4 linked regions of the Saccharomyces cerevisiae S288C genome follow. The protein of the gene in region 4 interacts with the protein of the main gene of each other region in a pairwise test. Each region holds a gene or a part of one and is shown on either strand. Other genes may lie near its edges. The genes, in order: NOP53, SPB1, NOC2 and FPR4.

Region 1 (6,349 bases), on a different chromosome or scaffold from region 4:
TTCTCACCATCCACCCGTCACTGCTTTTTCCATCTTCAATGATAAGAACAAGGTTAAGCTGCAAGGCTACAACCAAATTAAAGCCAGTTTCACTAAATCCTTAATGCTGACTGTTAAACAATTTGGTCACACTATGTTGGATATTAAGGATGAGAGTTATTTGGTTACCCCACCTCCATTGCATATTGAAGGTATTCTTGTCGCTTCTCCCTTTGTTGAATTGGAAGGAAAATCATATATCCAATCTTCGACAGGTCTACTTTGTGTTATTGAATTTTCAGGTAGAGGCTACTTTTCTGGTAAAAAGAATTCATTCAAGGCAAGAATTTACAAAGACTCTAAAGATAGCAAGGACAAGGAAAAGGCATTATACACAATATCAGGCCAATGGTCTGGCTCTTCTAAAATAATCAAGGCAAATAAGAAAGAAGAATCACGATTATTTTACGATGCTGCTAGAATCCCTGCTGAACATCTGAATGTCAAGCCTTTGGAGGAGCAACACCCACTGGAAAGTAGAAAAGCCTGGTACGACGTGGCTGGTGCCATCAAATTAGGCGATTTTAACTTAATTGCCAAAACGAAAACTGAATTGGAAGAAACGCAAAGAGAATTGAGAAAAGAGGAAGAAGCTAAAGGCATTAGCTGGCAAAGAAGATGGTTCAAAGATTTTGACTACTCTGTCACGCCCGAAGAAGGCGCCCTTGTACCTGAAAAGGATGACACTTTCTTAAAACTCGCCTCTGCTCTAAATTTATCAACGAAGAATGCTCCAAGTGGTACTTTGGTGGGTGACAAAGAAGACAGGAAGGAGGATCTTTCATCCATTCATTGGAGATTCCAAAGAGAGTTGTGGGACGAAGAAAAGGAAATTGTTTTGTAAGGAGAACGATAAAGTAACAACTTGTTACCGTTGCACTAATATATTATCTATCTTTTCTTCTTTTTCCTTCCTTTTTCTCTTCATGTGACAGGAAAGGATATGAAATCATTAGAGGAACTAAGAAATCATTTTTACCATCCCCTAAATCTTATATTGTTTTGTTCTCTTTTCACTATAATGACTAGAATTTATTCTTTCGAACCACAAGAATATGCTATATTGCTGTTAAAGATGAAGCAGAAAAAACCTTTATCTATTTCTACTTCTTCCTTTAATTATTGATAGACAGATCGCTCATTTTTTTCTCATGATGTCATATCCTTTTTAATCATCATACGAAGGTTAAAATTTGAAGTTTACCAAGTTTTCATGCAAGTTTTGTTATTATTTACAACCTATTACTATATTTTATCTTCTCTGTTGATATCCTCACTTTTGTCTTTTTTATAACTCTCTAATTTTCTTATGTCAATTTTGTAGAACCACATAATCGATGGAGTATATGCACTTATACAACACTTTCTATACAAAGTTTATGGTATATCCCAAAATCTGTACGCTTATCGAACCATAGGCCTGTTTTATCACTCCATAACAATGAAACACAAGAGGCTAACGCCAAGTACTAAAGTAATATTATCATAATATTGCGTATTACCTAACAGGTGTGCTCTGAGAGAATACAGTCATATTTGACGAAATTCTATAATTCCATCAAAAAATTTTCCGTGCCCGAGCTTTTTCACTTCTAAAAAAGAAAAGAGCAATAAAAATGCGATGGGGTCCTTACATTACAACTTATGCTATTAGTTCGGCTTTCTTGTGATCCATACCATCCTCACGTTAATGAATCATTTATTTAAAAATGGCTCCAACTAATCTAACCAAGAAACCATCTCAATACAAACAGTCTTCAAGAAAGGGTAAGAAAGCATGGAGAAAAAATATCGATTTATCTGACGTAGAACAATATATGGAAAAGAAAATTGATCATGAAATTACGCATGGTACCAGTGATATAACCTCTTTGCAAAATGATGCTCTTTTTCATGTTGATGTTGAGGGTGATGAGATATTGAAAAATAAATTAATTAAAAGGAAACAAATTAAGAAGGTTCTAAAAAGTAAAGAGATTTTAGACGCCGTTAAAACGAATTCAAAAATTGCAGCACTAAATCACCATAAGAATAGTAGTGGAAATCCTAATAAGATTCAAGGTGTTTCTAAACACGAATTAAAGAAATTAATGGCTTTGGCTGGCAGAGTACACGGCGAATCGAAGATCAAGAATAGAGTTGCCAAAGACGGTCTAGTTAAAACAACGGCTGGCGACTTATGGGGTGAAGAATCCAATTCAAAGAAACAGAAGGTCAAATTACCTTCCGGTATCAAACTTGATGTGGAAAAAAAGGACCAGATACCTGAAGAACTATTGAAAAAATCCACGACAAGTTGGTCTACTGCTTCAGTCAGACCAAGTACTTTAGATATAGAGCCAATTGCAGTAAAAGAATTCACAGAAATTCCACATGCTGGTAAATCCTACAATCCCAACAATAAAGCTTGGTCAGAATTGATAAACAAAGAGTATAAAGAGGAAAAGGCAAGAGAAGATGAAAGAATCGCCTTGGAAAAGTACAAAGAAAGAATTAGACATTTAATGGAAACTTTAGATGACAATGAAGAGGAAGAGTCTTCATCAAACGAAGAAGAAGAAGAAGAAGAAGAAGAAAATGAAAATGAAAATGAAAGTACGCAATGTAGTGGATCTGATAAGGAAATAAAACTATCAATAAATAAGCCTGTGAAGAATAAAAAGAAAACAAAATATCAAAGAAACAAGGCAAAGAGACATGAAGAGAAAGTAAAATTGCAACAAGAGTTGAAAGAATTGAGACAACGTGTTAAAGATTTAGAAGAAGTTATCAATTCTGAAGAGACTGAGATACTTTCAGCCATAGAGTCAGATAGCAACAAGGTTAAAAAAAGCAAGAAAAATAAGAAACACAAGTTAGGGACGAAATACTCTGTGATTGATGAAAGATTGGAGATTAAATTTTCTGACGAATTATCTGACTCATTGAGAAAACTGAAACCTGAAGGAAATCTGCTATATGATACTGTGAGAAAACTACAAAGTTCTGGTAAGGTCGAAACAAGAGTGCCCGTTAGGAAAGGTAGAAAGTATAAGCAGAAAATCACTGAAAAGTGGACACATAAGGACTTCAAATAGAGTTTTTTGTTTTACAGTATATGTTTCCATGAAAAGGTTGTCCTTGATACGTGGATTCATCAAGTGAGATATATATATATATGTTCATATTTGTGTTGGCAAGACCAACAACTGTATAGTAGGTAACAAATTGTTTCATTTTCTTTTCGTTCTCTGCCCTTTTCTAGTTTGAGAGGGCATTCCCATGTCGATATCTCTAGATATCAGTTAAACATTCAAAAGTACAAATTCAGTTACGGAAATAATATATAAATTATATTCGCTAAATAAAATCTCTCCCTTTCTAGGGTGTTTTCAAATAATTTCAAGCTTTTCCCGTAGCTTCGTCCTCTCATCTTCCCAACCTTTTACTCTTTCTAGTTTTCTCTCCAATTCCTCAATCTCGTTGTCAATCGACGTGATTGCTTCATCGGTACCAACTGCCTGTAATTGCCATTTGCCATCTCGATTTTCACCGATCTCTAGTAACATTTCATGATATTTGATTAATGTGGGTCTTTGTGATATGGAAATGAAATTGAATCTGTATCGTTTTAAAAGATTGAACAGATAGTCTTCCATGTCAACACTAATTGCGTTTGTAGCCTCATCTAATACTACGTATAGTGGTTTATGAAACATGATTCTAGCAAAATTTACTCTTTGCTTTTCACCACCACTTAATAAGTCCTTCCAATCGGCAATGGCATCTAGGTAAGTTAAGCCAACGCCTCTTTTTAAAAGATAATCTAGTTTCACTTCGACTAATATCTGTACTAGCTCCTTATCTCTAAACCCCCTATCAAAGAATTCATCCGAGGACATGGGGTATATAATTTGGTCTCTTAAAGTTCCACCTCTACTAAAATATGGTTTCTGAGGAATAAAAAAAATATTATTTTCTGAAGGAATCGACAATAATCCATTTTTGTTATACACTGGCCATATTTCAGCTATAATGCGTTGAATTGAACTTTTACCGCAACCATTTGGCCCTAATATTAACAGGCTGGAGCCAGAACCCTGCAAAAATGGTAACTTTATATCATTTGCCTTCGATAAGTCTTGTATAGAATTGGACTTTGAAGTTATTGGGTCAATATGCAAAGGAATTTGAAATGTAAGCTTGTTAATCAGCTTTATGCCTTCGCTCGCCCTTACTGATGGAATGATTACGTCTATATTTTCTAACCGAATACCGTTAAAATTGCGTTGAATAGTACCACGAATAGCATCTTGCGAATTATCCGTGGTGGGTAATAAGTTGGAATTTCTGGAAGCGTCTTCTGTACGTATTGACAGGATTGAAGGAACAGCGCCGTAATTAAAGTTCAGAGAGTGAACCCTGTGTAAGACGGAAAGCAGAGTAAATATCCTATTAGTGTAGCCGGTCAATTGTGAGATGTCCTTTATCGAATGCATCAATCTCGAGCCTGCATCTGCAAGCGACAACATCAACCTTTTGTTGACTATAAATTCCTTCATATTTTTTTCCTCTGAATTGATGCCTGTCGCTAAGGTAGACATAACGATAGGGATTGAGGCAAAAACATAACCCAAACCGGACCATGTATATTTTAAAACATAGTCTTCCAACATATTGTAACCAAACTTGACTTTATCAACCAGCAGCATTTTTTCCATCAGCACATCATACAACTCTTTAACTTTCGTCCTTTCCACTGCTGTTCCTTGGTAAAATGCGATCTCTTCGCTATTATTTATCATGTTTAGATGATAATTGTAGTAATCGCCGTCTGAAGCAGATCTCTCGCCTGCCAATTTACCTAATGGTGGCGTGTATTTCCTCAAAATAAACCCAGTAATGAAATAATTAACAAATATACCTGCTACTCCCACAGTTCCCAAATTATCACGTAAATAAACCGAAAAGAATATTAAATCAATAACTGGCTTTGCAATGTTTGCAAAAACGGAGCATGTCGCATCGCAAAATTTTGCAACATCATTAGTAATGGAGTTGTCGATATTCTTGATTACCGAATTGGACGCCTTTGCATCAAAAATTAATTTGTAAAATGTTAGTCTTTTATCCAAATACATGTCATGGATGTAACGTGTCAAATTTACCCTAAAGTTTAAACTCAACTTCCTTTGAAGTAGCTTAATAGCACTATTAGTATAAGAAGCAGGGACAGCAATTAAAAACCAACACCCTAAGTCCCACAGAAAGCTTCTTCCTCTACCAGCAATTATATTTTTGACTATTTGTCCATCCAGCTTGGCTACAAACAAAGAGAGCCAAGTTCTCATCACCAGGAAAAAAATTTGAGCAGTTAAAAGAAGAAAGTTTTTGTCAAAAACTGTTGGAATTAAAATTTTAGACAAGACGTTCATTTGGTTTAAAAATTTTGAGTAGAATAACTGCGAATTCTTGGCTCTTTCCAGTTCTACATTTTTAAAAAGAAACTTATCGTGTTCATATACATCGTTATCCTTTGGTGGAATAAATATCCTTTTCCTTTTTTTTTTATCTGTAGCATTCATAAATTTGTTGTCATCGGGACTCTGGCGGTCGACTAATTCCACTTCAGGAATATACATTATTCTTGCACCACTGTCTAATTGCATTTGAGATCTTGTTCTTCTTATTAAAGGTCTCCTATTCCTTCTCTTCCATGGAAACTTGTAAAATTTATAACATTTTAGAATAATTTTGAAAGTACTATATGTTACACCAGAAAAAAGTGTGACACCAGATAGGAAAAGCGATACCAATAAAATCTGGGCCCTTCTTCTTAGCTTAGGATGAGCAGCGTTTGATCTAGATATCTGTAGAAGATGCCGTATCAATAACTTGAAATATACTTTAGGTGTGACATCGTTAACGTGTAGCCCAATACAGTGAGTATGTAGATTCAGGAGCAAACTCTTTAGTTTCGCTGGTGCTGCTAATGTTGTTGACATTTCTGTGTTATGCGTTCTAAGACTTCCAGATTGTCTGAAACGGGTTTCATTGTTAGTCTCACTTCTTAGAGAAGCATTCTTATATATCTTGACTCTAAAAGGGCTGAAAATAACCGCCGAAATTAAAAATTGGGGTAAAAAAGGGTAACGAAACTTATGCGGTTAAGCCCGATCAACATATAGCTGAATATTGCGTCAAGAATAATTTCTTAATCGGGATTATTTCCGAAGGAAGAAATTCTATTGAAAAAAAAATCTTAACATCAAAACTGCTTATATACATTCCACAGGTTCAAGCGGTCATAAGAGATCTGACTTTTGATAGA
Region 2 (9,218 bases), on a different chromosome or scaffold from region 4:
GTTGTACTTCGGTAGATGTTATATTCTAAAGAGTTAAATTATCCAATTCCAAATTCTAGGGACGGTTTCCAAAGATTTGTATTGTCCAGTGACATAATTTTCACTAAAACATTGATCTGTTTAATAGGTTTGCTATAAATGCACAATAATTTTTCACCCATGATACCCAATTTCAAGAGAAGCAATTGCTACATATAATTATTTAGGCTTTACTATCTACTACTCATTGACTGTGCCCTTTTACACAATTATAACAAATATGTCAAAGCAGATGCCATGAACTTTGTATCTGAATTTTTGATTTCCTTTTAATTCTAATTGCAGACGACGTAAATATAGTTCTGAATTTCAAAGTCACTGTTAATTAATTGTTCTAATTGTTTGGTTTTTTTAATATAAATCACTAGTGCTTAAGTTCTGTTGACGCACACAGTACCTATCTTTGATTCCTTCGTGCAAACAGTATTCCGGCACGTTAATTGATACCAAAAAGATTTCAAAATCAGATGCTTCAAGACTAATTGTATACTTTATGTGACTTCTGGAGTTTAATTTGTTGTATTGATGAGATAATATTGTCTATTATATTGCCAATAACAACCAGCGCCAGGTGTACTAAGTCGAGATGACAGAAAATTTATAATAAGTGTAAATACAATAAATTTTGTAAATAAATAACTACTTCAATAGAAATCTCAAAGTCGAAGAAACACAGAACACAGAATGAAACTGGACTAAATGATTTTCAATAAAGGAAAAGCACGAAAAATTTTTTGAACTTTTTTGGGACAGCGTGGATCGTGTAATTACTGTATTGGGAAATTTACACGATTCTCGACAAATAAAGAAAAAGGCGCGTTTAAAGACTTACAAGCACACCTTTGAATTATTTTTGTTCTCTATGATTATCAAATGTGCTAGTGTTTGCAAGATGGTGCTTTTTTTTCTTTAGATTGCCACGTTTCTGCTCCTCTTTGTGGTTTTCTTTTTTTTTTTCAATCTTACTTATAAAATGAATATTTCAATTGATGAATAGCTATATATTGGATACAAAAATTAGCATTTAATCGAAAACTGCAGCATGTATTTAATCGAAAACTACAGCATGTAGCTATGATACGACAGAAGATTTTTGTTTTTATAGTTAAGTCAAGAAGAAATTCTATTTGTCCAGCAATCCGGCGCAAAGAAGACTACTAAAGGGTATTGAAAAATTTCTAGAACCAGAAATAATCGAAAGCATTACTTTTTTTGGCTCTATAAAGGAGTTCTGGACAGCTTGAACTTCCGAAGTCTGTCTGTTTAGCTCGTTAAGATAAATCTCAAAAGAGTAGCAAGCAGGTGGGAGGGATAATTTGGATTAAAGTGTATATATTGCGTATATATAGCCACGTAAACCTCACACTATTGAGTTTAAACATTTTTCACCTTACGTTATTATTCTTTTGTCTAATTTTAATCTCCTCCAGTATACTAAAACCGCAAAAGCGGGTTACCCAGCTTGTTTCTTTTTGTCTGAAAAATTTTTTGCGATGCCCATTATGAAAAATTGGCAATAATAGTATAGTAGTTAGTTTAAGTTTAGATTCTTTCAATACTCATTCTGCTTCAGTTTGTAGTTAGATTTAACTCAATAGAGGTGATTGGCAAAAATGGGTAAGACACAAAAGAAGAATAGTAAGGGACGTTTAGATAGATACTATTATCTAGCAAAGGAGAAAGGTTATCGTGCTCGTTCATCCTTTAAGATTATTCAGATTAATGAAAAGTATGGCCACTTCTTAGAAAAATCGAAGGTTGTTATTGATCTGTGTGCTGCTCCTGGTTCATGGTGTCAAGTTGCATCCAAACTCTGTCCTGTCAACTCCTTAATTATTGGTGTTGATATTGTTCCAATGAAGCCGATGCCCAATGTTATAACTTTTCAAAGTGATATTACAACAGAAGATTGTAGATCAAAATTGAGGGGTTATATGAAGACTTGGAAAGCTGATACAGTGTTGCATGATGGTGCTCCTAATGTTGGTTTGGGTTGGGTTCAGGATGCTTTCACCCAATCTCAATTAACCTTACAAGCTTTGAAGTTGGCCGTCGAAAATTTGGTGGTGAACGGTACTTTTGTTACTAAAATTTTCAGATCCAAGGATTATAATAAATTGATTTGGGTTTTCCAACAATTGTTTGAGAAAGTTGAAGCCACAAAACCACCCGCATCAAGAAATGTTTCTGCAGAAATTTTTGTAGTGTGTAAAGGTTTCAAGGCACCAAAGAGGCTGGACCCAAGATTACTGGATCCAAAAGAAGTTTTTGAAGAATTGCCAGATGGGCAACAGAATATGGAGTCCAAGATTTATAATCCCGAAAAAAAAGTTAGAAAAAGACAAGGTTATGAGGAAGGTGATAATTTACTGTATCATGAAACCTCAATTTTGGATTTTGTCAGGACGGAAGACCCAATAAGCATGCTTGGAGAAATGAATAAGTTTACAATTGATGAGAATGACCATGAATGGAAGATCTTGAAGAAATTGAAACAAACCACAGACGAGTTCCGTTCCTGTATTGAAGATTTAAAAGTCTTGGGTAAAAAGGATTTTAAAATGATCCTAAGATGGAGAAAGATTGCAAGGGAAATCTTGGGCATCGAAGTTAAGGACGACGCTAAAACAGAAATTGAAGTAGTACCGTTAACAGAAGAGGAGCAAATTGAAAAAGATTTGCAAGGTTTACAGGAGAAGCAGCGTCTAAATGTCAAGCGCGAAAGAAGAAGGAAGAACGAAATGAAGCAAAAGGAACTACAGAGAATGCAAATGAACATGATAACCCCCACTGATATTGGTATTGAAGCCGCAAGTTTGGGTAAAGAATCGTTGTTTAATTTGAAAACTGCAGAAAAGACTGGTATCTTGAACGACTTGGCGAAGGGTAAGAAAAGAATGATTTTTACAGACGATGAATTAGCCAAAGATAATGATATTTACATTGATGAAAACATCATGATCAAAGATAAGGATTCTGCCGCTGATGCGGACGATTTAGAAAGCGAGTTGAATGCCATGTATAGTGATTATAAAACTAGAAGGTCGGAAAGGGATGCCAAGTTTAGAGCTAAGCAAGCACGTGGTGGCGATAATGAGGAAGAATGGACCGGTTTTAATGAGGGAAGTCTAGAAAAGAAAGAAGAGGAAGGTAAAGATTATATCGAAGACAATGACGATGAAGGTGTCGAAGGAGACTCCGATGATGATGAAGCCATCACCAATTTGATTAGCAAATTGAAGGGACAAGAAGGTGATCACAAATTGAGTAGTAAGGCACGTATGATTTTCAATGATCCGATATTTAATAACGTTGAACCTGATTTGCCAGTAAATACCGTCAATGATGGCATAATGAGTTCCGAGTCTGTTGGTGATATTTCTAAATTAAATAAGAAAAGAAAACATGAAGAAATGCACCAGAAACAAGATGAAGCAGATTCTTCGGATGAGAGTTCAAGTGATGACTCCGATTTCGAAATTGTGGCCAACGATAATGCATCAGAAGAATTCGATTCTGATTATGATTCAGAGGAAGAAAAAAATCAAACAAAGAAAGAAAAGCATTCCAGAGACATTGATATTGCTACTGTTGAAGCCATGACTTTGGCACATCAGTTAGCATTGGGTCAGAAAAACAAGCATGATCTTGTTGATGAAGGTTTCAATAGATACACCTTCCGTGACACCGAAAATTTGCCAGATTGGTTTTTAGAAGATGAAAAGGAACATTCAAAGATAAATAAGCCGATTACTAAGGAGGCAGCGATGGCAATTAAAGAAAAAATAAAGGCAATGAACGCCCGTCCTATTAAGAAGGTTGCTGAAGCTAAGGCAAGAAAGAGGATGCGTGCCGTAGCTCGGTTAGAAAAGATCAAGAAGAAGGCGGGCTTGATTAACGATGATTCAGACAAGACAGAGAAGGACAAGGCTGAAGAAATTTCTAGATTGATGCGTAAGGTTACCAAAAAACCAAAGACCAAGCCAAAGGTTACTTTGGTTGTTGCCTCAGGTAGGAACAAAGGTTTGGCAGGTAGACCAAAGGGCGTTAAGGGTAAGTATAAGATGGTTGATGGTGTCATGAAGAATGAACAAAGAGCCCTAAGACGTATCGCAAAGAAGCATCACAAGAAAAAGTAGTAACAAAGAGCATTATTTTTCCATTCCCTTGTATAATATTGAAAATAAAGGAAAAGAAAGCAATAGATATATTATGTATACATAGAATTAATCAAATTATCATCAAAAAACTTATAGGAAACCTATCGTTTTGAATTCAGAAAATACGAGTGCACAGTAGAACAATTTTTATTCCCGTTTTACTGATCTTTTCTTCTTGTTGTTACCAAATACCTTGGAGAAAATGTATATGATGGAGATGAGTAAGCATAGTAACGTACCATTTTTGATCTTGGAATAATCCTTTGTGTCAGGCCTTGGAATTGGTACTAGAAGAGTTGTCGAGTTCAAATGGCGGAATGTAGTATCGTCTGTAAAGAGAGATTCATATCCTAGACCTTTTTTATAAAATGGATTACGGGAAACTTTATTGTCACCTGTGTCGCAGGCTAATATAACTTCTGGATCAAATGAAACTTCTAATTTATCCCCTTTATTATTAGAAGGCTCAATATATCTAGTATGCAATGTCACTTCATTCATTGTGCCGGCTTTCAATTCAAAGATACTTTCAGAACCCCATGCCTTATCTCGAAGAGAGTATTCTGGTAATTCTAAGTCGTCTTCTCCAAAAAGTAGTAAGGGAGAGGATTGGAATTTATCGATAAATAATTCTAACGGCAATTGCAGGTGCATTAGATACATGCATTTAGGGCGTTCTTCGAAATCTGTGAGATCAATCATGATTTTTGGATGCAAACCGATAGGTTCATTCAGATATAGTGATGTCGTAGTCGTCGAGTGATTGTATGCGATATGGCCCTGTTTATACAATAAGGATGTTTTCTGACATCTTTCCATTTTACCATCGTCCATCCTCCAATTACAACGTATTCCACCAATATCGACATCACTTTCATCACTTGCATCCACAAAGAATACACCTACTTCGAGTTTCTCATCTTTCACTCTTGCAATTGTAAATTCTTCACCCTGTTTCAACAGACGATATTCAACAATTTGGATTTGTGTGGGCTCCACTGATATATCATATGTAAAATCTTCTGGATTCCATGACAGATTCAAATCTACTTCGGGAGGCAAGTACTGCTCTATGTCAAACTTCTCACTGTGAAATGAATTGTAGACTGGGTTAGTAATAAACCTTTCCGGCACATCCGAAGAATTTGAGTAAACTGAAAAGCCAGCACTCAGTTCATTTTCTATAACGCTTAAACTTCTAGCCAAGTCCGCTCTGGGCCTCCAAGTGATTCTCGTAAAGGATTTATCCAAGCTTCCAGTCCTCTCTAATAGCCACCTTTGTTGTAAAACCACACCAGAACCTCCACGAACAGTCAAATGAGTGTCATTTTGGCGCATATGATTACCGATATCCTCAGGGGCATTGTAGAGTACAGTCACTCTATGTCTTGTCACCATTACTCAGCTAGAAACGCACACTTCTTGCGTTTATTCTCCTCCCGATTTGATTATGATTAGCGTTTCCATTATTTGATCTTTTTTATCAGGGGGATCTTCAAAGAAAGGAACTTTTTTTAGGAAAAAAAAAATAATCATCTTTTATTACATGTGTAATACTTCAAGCAATCATAAACAAGAGTTAAGAAGGCAAAGTTCTGCTGTTAGTGTGTCCTCCAATACTCTTGCACGACAAAGTTTTAGTTATCCCCTTCTACGTGTATTGTTCCTCCGTGGTCGATTGTGTTCAAAGATTGGGAGCTCTTTTCGTGTTTTGCACTAAGAGCATACTGTTAATCCGCAAAGGCCACTAAAACTTACCTGCATTTGTCTACTTAAAGATACATTCCAACTATTTACATTCATTTTTATTTCTAAAAGAGCATTCTGAACCCTCGGCAATTATTTCATACTCCTTCTCAGAATAGGAAAATGCCCAATACGCATACTCAACATGTGCAAATATCAGAGCCAAATCCTGTAAATACTTTGTCTACACCATCCAAAAGAGGTCACCGCCATCGCAGATCGCTAGCAATATCAGGAGATTTTGATTTTTTGAAACAGCCTGCAGCAATTGTGAATTTACCACCTCCACAGGCGGCTGAAAATTGTCCTTCAACTGCCCCAACTGCTGTATCAAGTACATTATCGCCAATACGCTACAATAGATTTCCTTGCAAAACCAATGAAGACGCTGGAACGTTAGATTTGCCTGAACCAAGATTTTATCCGTTATCACCAAAGAACAATCTGCAAACACCAAGTCCACGATTTTTCATTAGTGAAGAGCCAAGTTTTTCATCGCCAGTTAAAGGCGTCCCAGATGCCATTATTAACCTTGACGATGCGTTGAAGACAAGGCCTAGGTCATTTAAATCACATAGAAGATCTGAATCCGCTCCTCCTGATTTGGAGGTTATGGTAGATAAGGGCAATTGTGCAGCCGGTTCTAACTCTATGATTAAAGAAGAAGAGGACTCCTTAATTGAACCAGAATCGAAAAATGAATATTATGAGCAAAAGCTTCCAACAGCACTATTATCCCCACTGCGGCCTTCCCTTTGTGTATCTGAACAGGCCATTGATGTAGATGATTCAGCTCTCAATGGGTCACCGACCCATCACAACCATGGGATGCAAAACGCCAATGCACGGAATTCCAACACATTCAATTCGTTGAAGATCAAAGGCCAAAAGCAAAGATATTATCATTATACGAAGCAGCTACCTTTGACCGTAGGCTGTGACTCGCAATCTCCAAAAGAACAAAGGTCGGCTGCTTCAATGACAATCAATCAGGCAATGACACCTTCTTCCCTGGCCTATACCCCTTCTAAACTAGCATCTACTCCCGCAACACCAGTATCCTTTTATGACAGCAATGCGGACATTAACTTAGAAAGTGATAATTTTCCACTAAAAGATAACCCTAGATATGCCAAGGATGGTTATCCTAAAAAGTGCGGCAATTCACAGCTTAATCGTGTGCTGGATAGCGATAAAAGACAGGATTTTAGTGGAGAATCGAGAAGAAGAAGATCGGGCAGTCCTATCTCCCACATGCAACACCGCAACCTGATTGATAATATGAAAGGTAGACGAAACAGTAACACGATAAACTCAATCTTCAACTACAAGAGTCAACATTATGAAATGCCATATGATGATATGATGAAAAATGAAAACATTAATGCACAGTCCATGCCCTTTTCAGTCAACGGTGTCAACAATGAAAATAGTATCGGAGGGGTTATTACGAGAGCGGACGATGCACCCCTTCAACACTCTGTGGTCAAATCCTGTACGCCTGATGGCAAGGAAGAAATGAATAGGCTTAAAAGTAATGACAGTAATGAATATTCCAAGTCTGAAGGGCAGATCAGAACCAATTCGCAACTAAGTAAGGACATTCTCATGGGTGAACCAGGTGATATGGTTGATCTGTCCTCTTTTGTCAACGCGCAGAGAAAAGCCTCAAATGAAACTGGTGACTTAGTCTTTAGTTTATCCCAGGATGATGACGCACTGAAAACGTTCCATGCGAGCAACAGCGCAGCAACAAGCAATGAAAGCTGGTGTATTAGCGATGATGCGTTAGGAAAGCAGGCGCAGGACAGTGAAGTTAGGAGGAAAAGAAAATCCAAATTAGGACTCTTTAGACATATTTTTTCAAGGAAGTAATACAACAATATTAATAATAAGTAATAAAAAGGTGAATCGTAACCTTAACGGCATTGATTGCATGTAGTTTTAATAATAAAGTGTAGAATAATAAATATAAAATTTCAAAGTCATCAGAAATAAAAATTGAATAGACATATACATATAGAAATTACTTCTATCATTTAAATACATATATATACATACATGTATACGTGTATACTTGTACTTGTGAAGGACTCAATAGTTGTATTCGTTTGGTTTTTGACCAGAAGTGTTTGGGAAACCACATTCCAATAAGATATCGTTAATCAATTCAGGTTTTTCAGTAATCTTGGAGAAAACTTCATCATTTTTGGTTAAGATCATACCACAATAACCTGTGGAGTTGAAACCTATCTTCATTTCATCAGAAAAGGCCTTCGAGCGTGGAACGACACAGATCCATTCCTTGGTTAACATAAGATTGTAGGATTTCTTTAGTTCTGGATTTTCGTTCAACCAGTCCTGGAAAAAGGTCAAAGCTCTTTGCAATATGGAGATGTAACACATAGCTAATAGGTCTTCATCAACAGTTTCTTCAGACTCCGGCATTGGCAAGACAAAATGAGCGAACGAGACTTTAGCATCTTGCAAAGGTTCAGTATTGAAAGTTGGTAGGAAATGTTCTTTACCATTACATAGTCTATCTTGGAAAGTGACGAACTTTTCAGGCATTTGCAGAATTTGCAAATGTTTGTGGTCCAATGAAGAACCACTGGCTGGACCAGAATTGTAAAAGACCATGTGTCTCTTGTCGGATTCTTCATTGTCCAAGGCACACAGCAACTTATAAGCAGTCAATAAATCGGTTGGGGTCAAGGCATCAGTTTGATGTTGGTATTCGTTAGTTACCAATAAAGTGTGTTCAGGGATTACAGGGAATTTGTTTAATAGCAATTTATACGCTTTGTTATCGGCACCACCAAATTCTGGGATAACCGTTAATTCTTCCTCAGGTTTGCCTAGTGGATCCTCTCCTTCTGGAGTTTGGCCACGCTCTGGCTTTTCGATCAGACTTGGCATGTGACTAATCAAGTATGGCATGCTGGTTTTTGGGTCCTTTGTTTTCGTTGTTTCAGTCTGGATAAATTTTAAGTTACCATTATCGAAGGCACTTTTGTACTTGTCACTAATTAAAGATGCAATGTCAGCGGGGATACTCATTTTTATTTTAATTTTTACTTTTCTGTTTGTTCTAAAATCTATCTAAACTGGCTTTCAAGATCAATCTATTGTCTTTTAAGGTAAACTTTAAATTGGAAATAATAGTAATGTTAGTTCCTTCATTTTAACCTTGTATTGTATTTCCTTTGCGTGATGAAAAAAAAACTGAAAAAGAGAAAAATAAGAAAATCTTCTAGAACGTTCCGAAACAGG
Region 3 (8,919 bases), on a different chromosome or scaffold from region 4:
GATGAACTTTTTAAACTTCTCAATGAGGCAAAAAGTTGTCTTTAAACAACTCGAAATTCTGCTAAACGAATCACTGAAAATGAAAATATCATAATCTTTGATGATCTTTGTGAACTCAATATACTTTTCATCAGATCCAAGGTAATTCTTTAGTAAGTTCTCGAACGGGTAGTTCGACCTTTTCACCAAAGTGCTGGGTAGCGGCAACGATAAAACTGTGATATCCTTAGCATTGGTATTGCCTAAAAATGAGTTGGTATTGGGGCCAGCGCACAGATCTAGTAAAAGTATTTTAGAATGCCTATTAGAGTTGTTCCGCCGTATGTTAACGTCGTCCAAATCTTTGCACGGTTTAATTTGATTTTGGGGAAGGTTAGACAGATTTATAGTTTCACCTCTATAGACGGGCATTTGACCAGGTGTTCTAGTTTGATTGACTTGTATGTGGCCCTTTTCCGATATAGCGGAAGAAGCCATTCTATTGCCGTTATTGTCTCTTTTGCCATTACGATATTGCTGTGCTATGCGATCCATCAATAGCAACGTCGATCCTATTTTATTGTAAACTATTAATAGCACTGGGGATCGGACCTAGGCTTCCAAACTAAGCGAAAAGGGCTGTGCAAAGCGGAAGAGGGGAACCAGGGGAATCGGGTCTGTCAGGTTGAGTGATCTCGTCTTTCTTGTCAAAGGTCGCAGCGCGGTGTTCAAAGAAAGATGATGATTCAAAGTTGGCACTTCCCAAAGGTTTTAATAGGTGCATTATTTTTATATATTCCTTATTGTTAGGTGTACTACACATAAAGATATAAATAGTTCCATAAAGCAGGCGCGTATTTTCCAGATCACGTCGGACGAAATTGTAATTGTGAGATGAGCTGAAAATTTTTCGATCTATGCTTAAGTGATGATATATGGACAAGTTAGGAAAGAATTAAAGGGAGTTTAAAGTGTTGATAATTGAGCGTTTTAATCGCTAGGGACTTAGTGCTTGTTGAAAAATGGTTGCTGCGACAAAAAGACGGAAAACTCATATACATAAGCATGTGAAAGACGAGGCTTTTGATGATTTATTGAAACCAGTATATAAAGGTAAGAAACTAACTGATGAAATCAATACTGCTCAGGATAAGTGGCACCTTTTACCAGCATTCTTGAAGGTTAAAGGTTTGGTGAAGCAACATCTTGACTCATTTAACTACTTCGTTGATACAGATTTAAAAAAAATTATAAAGGCAAATCAATTAATTTTGAGTGATGTTGATCCAGAATTCTACCTGAAGTACGTCGATATTAGAGTGGGTAAGAAGTCCTCTTCTTCGACAAAAGATTATTTGACTCCGCCTCATGAGTGTAGGCTTAGAGATATGACATACTCTGCACCAATCTACGTGGATATAGAATACACTAGAGGTAGAAACATTATTATGCATAAAGACGTGGAAATTGGTAGGATGCCGATCATGCTGAGATCTAATAAATGTATCCTATATGATGCTGATGAATCGAAAATGGCTAAATTAAACGAGTGTCCGTTGGATCCTGGTGGTTACTTTATTGTTAACGGTACCGAAAAAGTAATTCTTGTTCAAGAACAATTATCCAAGAATCGTATTATTGTGGAGGCAGATGAGAAGAAAGGCATTGTTCAGGCCTCCGTTACTTCATCTACCCATGAAAGAAAATCTAAGACTTATGTCATTACCAAAAATGGCAAGATCTATTTGAAGCACAATTCCATCGCTGAAGAAATTCCTATTGCTATTGTTCTCAAAGCCTGTGGTATTTTATCAGATTTAGAAATTATGCAATTGGTTTGCGGTAATGATAGTAGCTACCAAGATATTTTTGCAGTCAATTTGGAAGAATCTTCGAAATTAGATATTTACACACAACAGCAAGCTTTAGAGTATATTGGTGCAAAAGTAAAGACAATGAGAAGGCAAAAACTGACTATCCTGCAAGAGGGTATAGAGGCCATTGCTACCACGGTTATTGCACATTTGACTGTGGAAGCCCTTGACTTTAGAGAAAAGGCTTTATATATTGCCATGATGACGCGCAGGGTGGTGATGGCAATGTATAACCCTAAGATGATTGATGATAGAGATTATGTTGGTAATAAACGTCTTGAATTAGCAGGCCAATTGATTTCTTTATTGTTCGAAGATTTGTTCAAAAAGTTTAATAATGATTTTAAACTAAGCATTGATAAGGTCTTGAAAAAACCAAATAGGGCTATGGAATACGATGCATTATTGTCAATTAACGTCCATTCAAATAACATCACCAGCGGACTGAACAGAGCTATCTCAACCGGTAATTGGTCTCTTAAAAGATTTAAGATGGAAAGAGCGGGTGTTACACATGTTCTTTCCAGACTATCTTATATTTCCGCATTGGGTATGATGACAAGAATTTCTTCTCAGTTTGAAAAATCAAGAAAAGTTTCCGGTCCAAGAGCATTACAACCTTCTCAATTTGGTATGCTTTGTACTGCAGATACTCCAGAAGGTGAGGCGTGTGGTCTAGTGAAAAATTTAGCATTAATGACTCATATTACTACAGATGACGAAGAGGAACCTATAAAGAAATTATGTTATGTTCTTGGTGTAGAAGACATAACATTGATTGACAGTGCATCCTTGCATTTAAACTATGGTGTTTATTTGAATGGTACTTTAATTGGTTCAATCAGATTCCCAACAAAATTCGTTACTCAGTTCAGACATCTGAGAAGAACAGGTAAAGTGTCGGAGTTTATCTCAATTTATTCAAATTCTCACCAAATGGCAGTTCATATTGCAACAGATGGTGGTAGAATTTGTAGGCCATTAATCATTGTTTCTGATGGTCAATCTCGCGTGAAAGATATTCATTTACGCAAATTATTAGATGGTGAGTTAGATTTCGATGATTTTTTGAAACTCGGATTGGTGGAATATTTAGATGTCAATGAAGAAAACGATTCTTACATTGCATTGTATGAAAAAGATATAGTTCCCTCGATGACACATTTAGAAATCGAGCCATTCACAATTTTAGGTGCTGTTGCTGGTTTAATTCCATATCCACATCATAACCAATCCCCTCGTAACACATATCAATGTGCGATGGGTAAGCAAGCGATTGGTGCAATCGCCTACAATCAATTCAAGAGAATAGATACATTATTATACTTGATGACTTATCCACAACAGCCAATGGTGAAAACCAAAACAATTGAATTGATCGATTATGATAAATTACCTGCTGGTCAAAATGCTACGGTTGCTGTCATGTCCTATTCTGGTTATGATATTGAAGATGCTTTGGTTTTGAATAAGTCATCCATCGATAGAGGTTTCGGCCGTTGCGAAACACGTAGAAAGACAACCACTGTTTTGAAAAGATATGCGAACCATACCCAAGATATCATCGGTGGTATGAGAGTTGATGAAAATGGAGATCCTATCTGGCAACATCAATCTCTTGGTCCTGATGGTCTAGGTGAGGTGGGTATGAAGGTCCAAAGTGGACAAATTTATATAAATAAGTCAGTTCCAACTAACTCAGCAGACGCCCCAAACCCAAACAACGTAAACGTCCAAACTCAATATAGGGAAGCTCCGGTAATATATAGAGGTCCAGAACCTTCTCACATTGACCAAGTTATGATGTCTGTTTCGGATAACGATCAAGCTTTAATCAAAGTTTTGCTAAGACAAAACAGAAGGCCAGAATTAGGTGACAAATTTTCTTCTAGACATGGTCAAAAAGGTGTTTGTGGTATTATTGTAAAGCAAGAAGACATGCCCTTCAACGATCAAGGTATAGTTCCAGACATTATCATGAACCCTCACGGTTTTCCATCTCGTATGACTGTGGGTAAAATGATCGAACTGATATCGGGTAAAGCTGGTGTATTGAATGGTACATTGGAATATGGTACTTGTTTTGGTGGTTCTAAACTTGAAGATATGTCTAAGATTTTGGTAGACCAAGGTTTCAACTATTCCGGTAAGGATATGTTATATTCAGGTATAACAGGTGAGTGTTTACAGGCTTACATCTTTTTTGGCCCCATTTACTATCAAAAGTTAAAGCATATGGTCTTAGATAAGATGCATGCAAGAGCTCGTGGTCCAAGGGCTGTTTTGACACGTCAACCAACTGAGGGTAGATCTAGAGATGGTGGTCTGAGGTTGGGTGAGATGGAGAGGGATTGTGTAATCGCGTATGGTGCTTCACAATTGCTGTTAGAAAGGTTGATGATTAGTTCAGATGCTTTTGAAGTTGATGTCTGCGATAAATGTGGATTAATGGGCTATAGTGGTTGGTGTACTACCTGCAAAAGTGCTGAGAATATTATTAAGATGACTATTCCATATGCAGCAAAACTGTTATTCCAGGAATTATTATCCATGAACATAGCCCCAAGATTAAGATTGGAAGATATCTTCCAGCAGTAAGAAATCATATATCTTGTACTAAATTTTGCGTTATGTTAGCAATCATATCTATTTCGTGAGGAACTTTAAGAGAGTTGAACGATTTCGAAAATTATATAACAGTAAACCGTACTTCTTTCATTTTTGTACCTTGCTTTACATCATTACTTTTTATAAGATCCATCGAACGTTTGACGTGTTTTCTATCCATAAACCGGCCAAAATATAAAAATATCCAGCTGACAAGAGAAAGCTTGGAGTGCTCACATGTTAGCACATGTGAGCACAATGATATATACGCTTTAAAAAAGACTTTTCTTTATTTTACACATTTATAGACTTAACTATTGAATTCAAGACAAAAAATCAAATCTTGCTGAGTTGTTAAGCGTCTGACATTTCAACATCTTCGTTGTCATCATCACTTTCCAGACTGTTTAATAATTTTGCTTCTTCTGTTTCTCTTTCTTTGTCTTGTTCTTCCATACTTTCTCTCATTAATCTGGCCTTTTCTTCCTTAACTTCACGTTGTACTGCAACATAAGAACCTAAAGGTGTTTTATTCCAAGCTACATCATTCAAAAATCTTGAAACTTCAGATTTGTTTGTTGGCCCAAATTCAACATCTGATCTCTTTTCTTGGATGAATGTGCTGTTTTGGTTCAATTTTTCTACAACAGTTGATAAACGTTTGTTAAGTTTGACATTAGTTGAAGTCTTGATGTAACGGCGTAAAGAGATAATAACCGGTGTTACAAGTTCAGGAAATGCAATGTTTTTACAGTACAGAGCAAAATAATCGCCCAATAAGTCCACAAACTGTTCTGACAAACCCTCTTGGTATATTTTTGTATTCAGATAAGCTTGCGTACATTTGATGTTGTGCTCAAAATCGAAAGCAGCCAAGTTAGGGCTCTTTTTGGGTGCCTTAGTGAAAGCCGTTGAGGTTAAAATTTCAGAAAGTAAAGGATATATTGGAATAAAAACACCACTATTTTGAGAAAGTCTAATAAGTGATTTAATCAAATAAAATCTTAATGGGAAGAATTGTGGTGTTGGGATTAATCTGATTACACCCAAAGTAACCTGAACCAATGGGTAAATTAATTGTCGTAAAGGAGATTCACTGCCATTTTCCTTTTCTGGTTGACAAGCAAACGATAGTACACGAGACCAGAAATCCAAGGAGTGACAGAATTGCCAGTTGTATACAATCTTGTAAGCTTCTGCGGAATTAATTTTACTGGATTTTTTAGTTGTCGCGTTCATTGTATTTCTTAAATGAATTGCCAATTGCCTAATATACTCAAATCCAACTTGGTAACCTAGAACTTCATCGATACCGAACAATTCAGCTGCCGAATTTTTTTGAAAATTAATCAGTGGCATAGAACGCATATTCGTTTTACGACAACTTTTGATAAAAGTGGAGTACGTTGTTTTTAAGGTTGTTTCTAGCATAGACTTCTTGAACTCTTTGGTGGTATTGATCAAAAAGGCAAAAGAAGCAATCTGGGTTTCTAATTCTCTCGTTGTAGACCATACTCCAACAATTGATTTAATAAGCTCCTTTAAGATCCTTCTGTATGATAAAAGATAAGGCATCAATTCGTTGACAGAATGAAGAACTAATGCTGCTGTTTCCGTATTAGTAATATCATTCAATAAAATCAACAAAGAGCCAGCATGCGACTTGACAATGGACGAGACCCTGGAGACGTTACCTCCATTTGGTAAGGTCCTTGCGCCTTTTACAATCTTGTATGGGGCCATCTTTTGAATCGCTTGTGGTACATCTTTCAAGACCATGAACATCAATTCGTGGAATGCTTTCTCATCAGTGATAGCATATTTATAGTCTTCGATGTTTTCTTCCTTGTTCAAATTTACAGCAACCTTGAAAGCACTGATTATGTTCCTTAGTAATTTTAAGCTTGGAGAATCATGAAGTTGTTTTTTCCATTTCCTAACCAATTTCAAAGAAAGCTCAATTTTTTCCTTTTCCAGCTCCATTTGTTCAGATTTTTCTTCAATATTACTGTTTCTTTCAGCATCTTCACCTTCATCTTGACTATCAATTCCATCCAATGGATTGGTACCTGCGAAGTCCAATAAATCTTTATCATTTTCCTCCAAATACTTATAAAATTCGGGATCCTTTTCGGCCAACTTTGCCATGCTTTGTCCCATGTCTTCCTCCTCTTCGGAAGAGGAGGAATCTTCATCAGATTGCTCTTTCGTAGTTTTTTTCTTCAATTTTTTATTCTCTTTTGGAATTTCGATGCCCTTTTCAAAAAAAGTTTCGACAGACATGTCCTTAAAAACCTCTTCCTTTGCAGATTTTTTCAACTGCTGTTGTTCCCTAGTACCAGCAGCATCGGCCTTTTCCTGATCAGTTTTGTTGCCACGACGGCCTTGGATTCTCTTCTTTTGGATCTTTTCCTTTCTTCTTTGGTCTAGAGTATGCTTCAAATGCTTCGATTGAAACTTCTTGGTCGATTTAGAAACTTTACCCATCTCCACTTATTCTATTGTTGACCTTCTCTATCTCTCTTACAATTCAAAAATTAGTATAAATGAATTTACCCATGTACAAGTATTCTGTTTCTCTATTTTCTCTGTAAATATCATGCTCATCTCATCGGAAGAAAAAATTCAGAAAATTTTTCAAAACTCGTCGAAGATGATAACTACTATTTGATGTTATGGGTCAAGATACATTTAACAGAGCAATATTAACGAAGGACCTTCCTAGTAACACGTCTAATTACTTTGAACAATTCAATATGCGGGAATGTTGAATCTGTGTCATGCTCTTCGAGGCGTACGTCAGTTTTCCTGTTCTGTGATTGTGAAAGTGAAATGTGCGTCATGTTCCATAAAACTACAGGATCAGGATCCTAGTAAACCAGGATATTATACGAAGCCAAAAAGTCTACCCGACTCAAAACTAAATCCTGACCTCCAAGATCTGAAGTATTTGCTATTCAGTCAAGACATACAGCTCTCGAAACAGGCAACTCAAAATGATCCTGACCTCAAAACCAAAAGAGATTTACTATTGAGAGTGATTTGCAAAAGGTGCAGTAATGCCCTTCATCATAACAATTATAACCCGGAAGAGTTTCCCGAAAGCACATTAAATGATATTCTGAACTACGTCCCCAGAGGCTCAAATGTTATGCATATTGTCCCCTTTGTAGAATTTCCCTTACATTTAGACCCCAATGTTTTGAAACGAAATGATTTAGATACTACATTAGTGTTAACGAAAAGCGATCAAGTTTTTAAAGATAAAAATGCTGTCAGCAAAAAGGTTCCTATATTCATGAAGCAATTTTTAAAGAACACTTTAAGAATTGACTCAAATAAAACATTCGCCATATCTGCGCTGAAAAACTGGAACATATCCATGTTTTACAACTACTTTAAAAACTACACATATTTGCTAGGCAACCCTAATGTTGGTAAATCAACTTTGATCAATACTCTACTACAGAAATATCTTGGATATAAGGTTAAAATTGATTCTACTGGGAAAATTAACTCCCCCTCTGAAGAAGTGATGCAAGAAGCTTTTACGAACCCGAAGAATTTTTTCAAGATTCAAGCTGCTGGTGTATCACATATTCCCAATTTAACTAGATCCGTACAAGCCTACCAAGTTGGAGGTAAAATACTTTTTGATCTTCCAGGCTATTCAACTTCCACCTCCAGATTACGCCTAGAAGAACTAATCGACGAGCGTTGGCTTCAAAGGCTGCGAAAAACCGATTTATTCAATCGGAAGCATATAAAACAGAAGACTTATGAGTCTATGAAGGGCACATCACAGGGAGGCTGTTATACCGTGGGAGGGATTTTCTACCTGGTACCTCCGAAAGGATCCATAAATCAGATTGTGAAATACATACCAGGACCATCAAAAACATTCAAGAACATTGAAAAAGGTATTGATGTATTCAACTCGTGCAATTCATCATCTGGCACACATCCGTTATCACGGTATTGTGGAATTAAAAGCGTTATATGCGAAAAAAGCCAGTACAAAAGGTACGCAATACCTCCATTTATTGGAAGTATAGAGATCGTTCTGAAAGATATAGGATATATTTTATTAAGGACAACTGGGAGGTATGAGTTCAAAGGACTACATGAGATATGGATACCTAGGGGTATCCAAGTAGGTATAAGGGAACCGCTAGAAAACTTGATTGAGTCTGGCTACCAGCGTTACATTGAAACAAATGGTAAAGAGTCAAGCTGTCCCAGAGATAGACCGATCATCAGTTCCCTGTATGAGATGGCCCCGGATGAAGCTGATACTTTGAACGCAGTGAAGAAGTCGTATTTAGAAAAAACCGAGAAAGATTTATCTGCTAGAAGATTTGTCGACGATGATCCTTATGATTTGGTTCAACACCTAGAAAAAAAAAAGAATCCCTATTGGTACTACCAATGGTAAGACTCGCTGTTCACTTGGTTGCAC
Region 4 (4,363 bases):
CGTTGGGGGATGAAATCACTTTTTCATCTTCCTACAATTCATTTTGTCCTTGAAATACATAATAACAAAATATTAATGAAACTTGCATGTTACCAAATAACTTGAACTTCAGCACTTCTATTTGTATACCAGTATCACAGCATTCAGCAAATTTGATTATCTCTCATGCTTCATGTCCTACCTTTTTTCCTTCTTTCTTCCTTGTCTTAATCTGAAAGTTACTAATAATAATAAAGACAAAATATCACCCATGCACCAAAATGTATGGGTCATAATTTTTTTTCTTGCCTTCAAAAATCGTTGTTAGCTGCAAAATGGCGGTGAAACACATAGTTGTGGTTATGCGTCCCCTCCGGGCGGCCGCAGATGGAGGATGCCCCCATGTGCTGATTCTCCCCGTAGGCGGCGAGTAATATCCTCGCCTAACCTGGACTTGCCGTGCTAAGTCGGCCTTCTAGGCTGCGCTTCCGTTCAGCATCGTTTACGGTAGAGGGAGCACATGGGCGGAAACAAACCTCATTCTGGTCCTGTGCTTGCCCATTTGCACTGTATAGAGTGTGTGAGTTTCAATTAATGTTGTAGGCGCGAGGCCCTGTAATATGGCAGTTGATCAAAAGTCAATAGATAATTTTCAAGCAAAATCTCATTTAGGTTTGACTACTTTCTTGAACTTGGAAGAGAAGCAAATATATTCAACGAAATGACTGCCCAACAAGTATGTGTAAAGATGAGTAAATTGAAGGATGTGATGGTTATGGAGATGGCACACGTGCCTAGAGGAAAATAGTTACCCAAGAACAAAAGCAGGAAGGGAGCTAACCTTTTAAATATGAACTGGACAAAACTGGACAAAATGAAAATAACGATTTTAGTAAAAATGAAAATATAGCATCAAATGACTGAGAAACATAGTAACAATAACTCATATTATAGCTAATCTGAGTAAACTTCTTCCTACGCTAAGAATTTTTTTGAGGATAGTACCAAACCTTGTGCTGAATCAGCACACGCCATGCCCACCATCAATTGTGCAAGAAAAAAGTAAACGAGTAGTATACTAACTATATATGTGATTTACATCACGATATGTCAATTATAGGCCCCAAAGTGGTATCCTTCCGAAGACGTTGCTGCCCCAAAGAAAACCAGAAAGGCTGTTCGCCCACAAAAGTTGCGTGCCTCTCTAGTTCCAGGCACTGTTTTGATCTTGCTAGCTGGCCGTTTCAGAGGTAAGAGAGTTGTCTACTTGAAACATCTAGAAGACAACACTCTATTGGTCACTGGTCCATTCAAGGTCAATGGTGTTCCATTGAGAAGAGTCAACGCTCGTTATGTCATTGCTACCTCTACCAAAGTCTCCGTGGAAGGTGTCAACGTTGAAAAATTCAACGTTGAATACTTTGCCAAGGAAAAATTGACCAAGAAGGAAAAGAAGGAAGCTAACTTGTTCCCAGAACAACAAACTAAGGAAATCAAGACTGAACGTGTTGAAGATCAAAAGGTTGTTGACAAGGCTTTGTTGGCTGAAATCAAGAAGACCCCATTGTTGAAGCAATATTTGTCCGCTTCTTTCTCTTTGAAGAACGGTGACAAGCCACACCTATTGAAATTCTAAATTGAACTGAAAAAATTATAAATGATTTAAAATAGAATTTCAAAACAAGGAGAATTGATAGAGAATGCGTTGATCTGAAAATACTGTTTGACAATAACGGAAAGGTAAGTGGATATGTAATCTAAGTTTAATCCTCTTCTAATTCATTTTTCCTATCAACATTATCTGTGCTTTTCTATATCCTTCTTTTTGTATCTATAATTTTTTTTTTCTCTTACATAGCAAAATACAAAAAATCATAAATATTAATATCTAAGGGTTCAAGATCAGGTCATCGCCGTTCTGGGCCACTAGGCTATATCTATTCATTTACATTGGAAGCTGCATGGTCTACTCCAACCGCACTGAGGCAAAGTCTCTGTGGAGGAAATGCTGTCCTAGCGAGCCATTGCAATAGGTATAATCAGAGTCGTCCTCCCAATGTGTTAACTTCTCTCAAAACCACCATATAAATTCTGTAACCTGCCAGCGATAATGTTATATATGTAAAAGGTAAACATACAACCCAATTTGTCCATACTAAGTGGATGCTGGGGAAGCAACTACAGTGCAGATGCTAAAGTTTGCTGCGGCAAATAATCTCAACATTTTTGTGATTAAACCTGCCTCAGTGGGGTGTATGATTAGTGCGTTGATATTTAATACACGCGTAAAAGTTAAGTCTGTTGTACGTTTTATTTCGAGTGACGAAAGAACTACGAATAACTTCCTGCATACTGTTGCCTTTTTCTGTATTTACGTATACTTTTATATCAAATAGCTTGGCCAAAAGAAAGTAGCATTGTGTATCAAGTCATAATTCTAATTCTTAGTTTAACTTCAGCAAAAATAATATTCTTCGTCAGACATTCTCATACAATCATTAACCCATATGAACGTTAAATTTCTCAATTTCTTGCCTTCGATGCCCTATGTATATTTTTATCTCAAACCCGAGGCAGTGAAAATTTTAGCTGGTGCATCGAAAAGAGAAGGGCATTGAAAATTTTACAGTGTTAAAAGAAGTGCTTTTCATGTTAGAATGATAAGAAAAAAGAAAAAGACAACAAAATATACGTCTCTACCATGTCTGATATGCTTCCATTGGCTACGTATAGCCTGAATGTTGAACCATACTCCCCAACCCCAGCTCTGAACTTCAAAATTCCGGTTACCATTAGAATCACAATGGCGGCCATCGACCCTGAGCCCTTTGACGATGACAAAAAGCCATCTACTTTAAGAATAATCAAAAGGAATCCTGAACTCACTCGCGGTGAGTACTACAACCAAGATAACAATGACGGCCTCGAAGAGGATGAAAGTGAAAGTGAACAAGAAGCAGATGTACCAAAAAGGAGTGTCAAATCAAAAAAAGGTAAGGCAGTCGAGCAAAGTGAATCAGAAGACTCTGAAGATGAAAACGAAATCGACGATGAATTCGAAGAATGCGTTCTTTTAACCTTATCTCCAAAAGGCCAATATCAACAAGCTTTGGATATTACCATTGCACCAGAGGAAGACGTTCAATTCGTCGTTACCGGTTCATACACTATCTCTCTAACCGGTAACTACGTCAAACATCCATTCGACAATTCTTCAGATTCAGACGAAGATGAAGAAGACTATTACAGTGACGAAGAATCTTCCAATGGAGAAGAAGAAGAAGAAGAAGAAGAAGAGGACGATGAGGAACTAAGTTCCGGTGATGACGATCTTGATGATTTAGTAGATGCTAGTGACATCGAAAGTCGTCTTGATGAATTAGTCAAAAAGGACGAAAAGAAGAAAAACAACAAGAAGGACAGTAAAAGGAAACATGAGGAAGATGAGGAAGAAAGTGCTAAACCTGCCGAGAAAAAACAAACGACCAAGAAAGACAAGAAAGCAGAGAAAGTTAAAGACTCGGAAGAGAGCAAACCAAAGCCAAAGACGAAGCTACTGGAAGGCGGTATTATCATTGAAGACCGCGTCACAGGAAAAGGCCCACATGCCAAAAAGGGTACCAGAGTTGGAATGAGATATGTTGGTAAGTTGAAGAACGGGAAAGTTTTTGACAAGAATACAAAGGGTAAGCCTTTTGTTTTTAAGTTGGGCCAAGGCGAAGTAATTAAAGGATGGGACATCGGTGTTGCTGGTATGGCGGTCGGTGGTGAGCGTAGAATTGTCATTCCTGCTCCATATGCCTACGGTAAACAAGCTTTGCCCGGTATTCCTGCTAACTCTGAATTGACATTTGATGTTAAATTGGTCTCCATGAAATAGGGTCCTTAATGCATACGTATTGATATATGTATCTATAATACTATATACAATTATCTATACTTCCATTACTAATATTATCTTTCAATTTTACATGTTTTTTTCTGCCATAAAAAAGCAATATTTTTTTGCGAGCTATTTAGTGATATAGCCGCCCAGCTACTTGTCGATGCATATATTGGCTGAGAGTACTAATACAATTATCGGAAGACCTCAAAGTAAAATATAGAAGCTTTGAGTAAAAGGAGCTCGAGTTTTAAAAATGACTTCGTAATATGTAAAGTTTATGTCATATATACTTACACGATAAATAGACCATTGATCGTTAGAGACGAGCGCATTGTTTTGTTGAATCCCTTTCAACAGCGCGACAAAAGTTAATCGAGAACAATAAGATGTTGCATTCAAGGGTTAGTCAAACATATCAGAAGGCCGTTTTCTAAATCACCTCAAGAACCTACCACACAGATACATCTTGAAGAGGTGGAGTACCAAAGGGAATATTTT

The links.
Region 1: the proteins of FPR4 (region 4) and NOP53 interact in binary tests that used the Saccharomyces cerevisiae proteins (3 or more experiments, as listed by UniProt).
Region 2: the proteins of FPR4 (region 4) and SPB1 interact in binary tests that used the Saccharomyces cerevisiae proteins (3 or more experiments, as listed by UniProt).
Region 3: the proteins of FPR4 (region 4) and NOC2 interact in binary tests that used the Saccharomyces cerevisiae proteins (3 or more experiments, as listed by UniProt).

What each region holds. Positions count from the first base shown.
Region 1 is NC_001148.4:272,929-279,277, reverse strand, and holds NOP53 (Nop53p), read left to right. Parts: upstream 1-1,748; coding exon 1,749-3,116; downstream 3,117-6,349. Other genes in the region: oxysterol-binding protein KES1, read left to right, coding at 1-883; ATP-binding cassette long-chain fatty acid transporter PXA1, read right to left, coding at 3,411-6,023. UniProt on the Saccharomyces cerevisiae protein: Late-acting factor in the nuclear maturation of 60S ribosomal subunits, which is required for normal acquisition of export competence. Required for the export of the large subunit.
Region 2 is NC_001135.5:29,797-39,014, forward strand, and holds SPB1 (27S pre-rRNA (guanosine2922-2'-O)-methyltransferase), read left to right. Parts: upstream 1-1,652; coding exon 1,653-4,178; downstream 4,179-9,218. Other genes in the region: RDT1 (Rdt1p), read left to right, coding at 1,114-1,200; PBN1 (Pbn1p), read right to left, coding at 4,347-5,597; LRE1 (Lre1p), read left to right, coding at 6,069-7,820; APA1 (bifunctional AP-4-A phosphorylase/ADP sulfurylase), read right to left, coding at 8,040-9,005. UniProt on the Saccharomyces cerevisiae protein: Required for proper assembly of pre-ribosomal particles during the biogenesis of the 60S ribosomal subunit. Specifically methylates the guanosine in position 2922 of the 25S rRNA at the stage of 27S pre-rRNA maturation.
Region 3 is NC_001147.6:725,540-734,458, reverse strand, and holds NOC2 (mRNA-binding ribosome synthesis protein NOC2), read right to left. Parts: upstream 6,948-8,919; coding exon 4,815-6,947; downstream 1-4,814. Other genes in the region: tyrosine protein phosphatase PTP2, read right to left, coding at 1-534; DNA-directed RNA polymerase III core subunit RET1, read left to right, coding at 1,002-4,451; GEP3 (Gep3p), read left to right, coding at 7,225-8,895. UniProt on the Saccharomyces cerevisiae protein: Involved in the intranuclear transport of ribosomal precursors.
Region 4 is NC_001144.5:1,028,154-1,032,516, forward strand, and holds FPR4 (peptidylprolyl isomerase FPR4), read left to right. Parts: upstream 1-2,680; coding exon 2,681-3,859; downstream 3,860-4,363. Other genes in the region: 60S ribosomal protein eL6 RPL6B, read left to right, coding at 701-715, 1,100-1,615. UniProt on the Saccharomyces cerevisiae protein: PPIase that acts as a histone chaperone. Histone proline isomerase that increases the rate of cis-trans isomerization at 'Pro-17' (H3P16), 'Pro-31' (H3P30) and 'Pro-39 (H3P38) on the histone H3 N-terminal tail.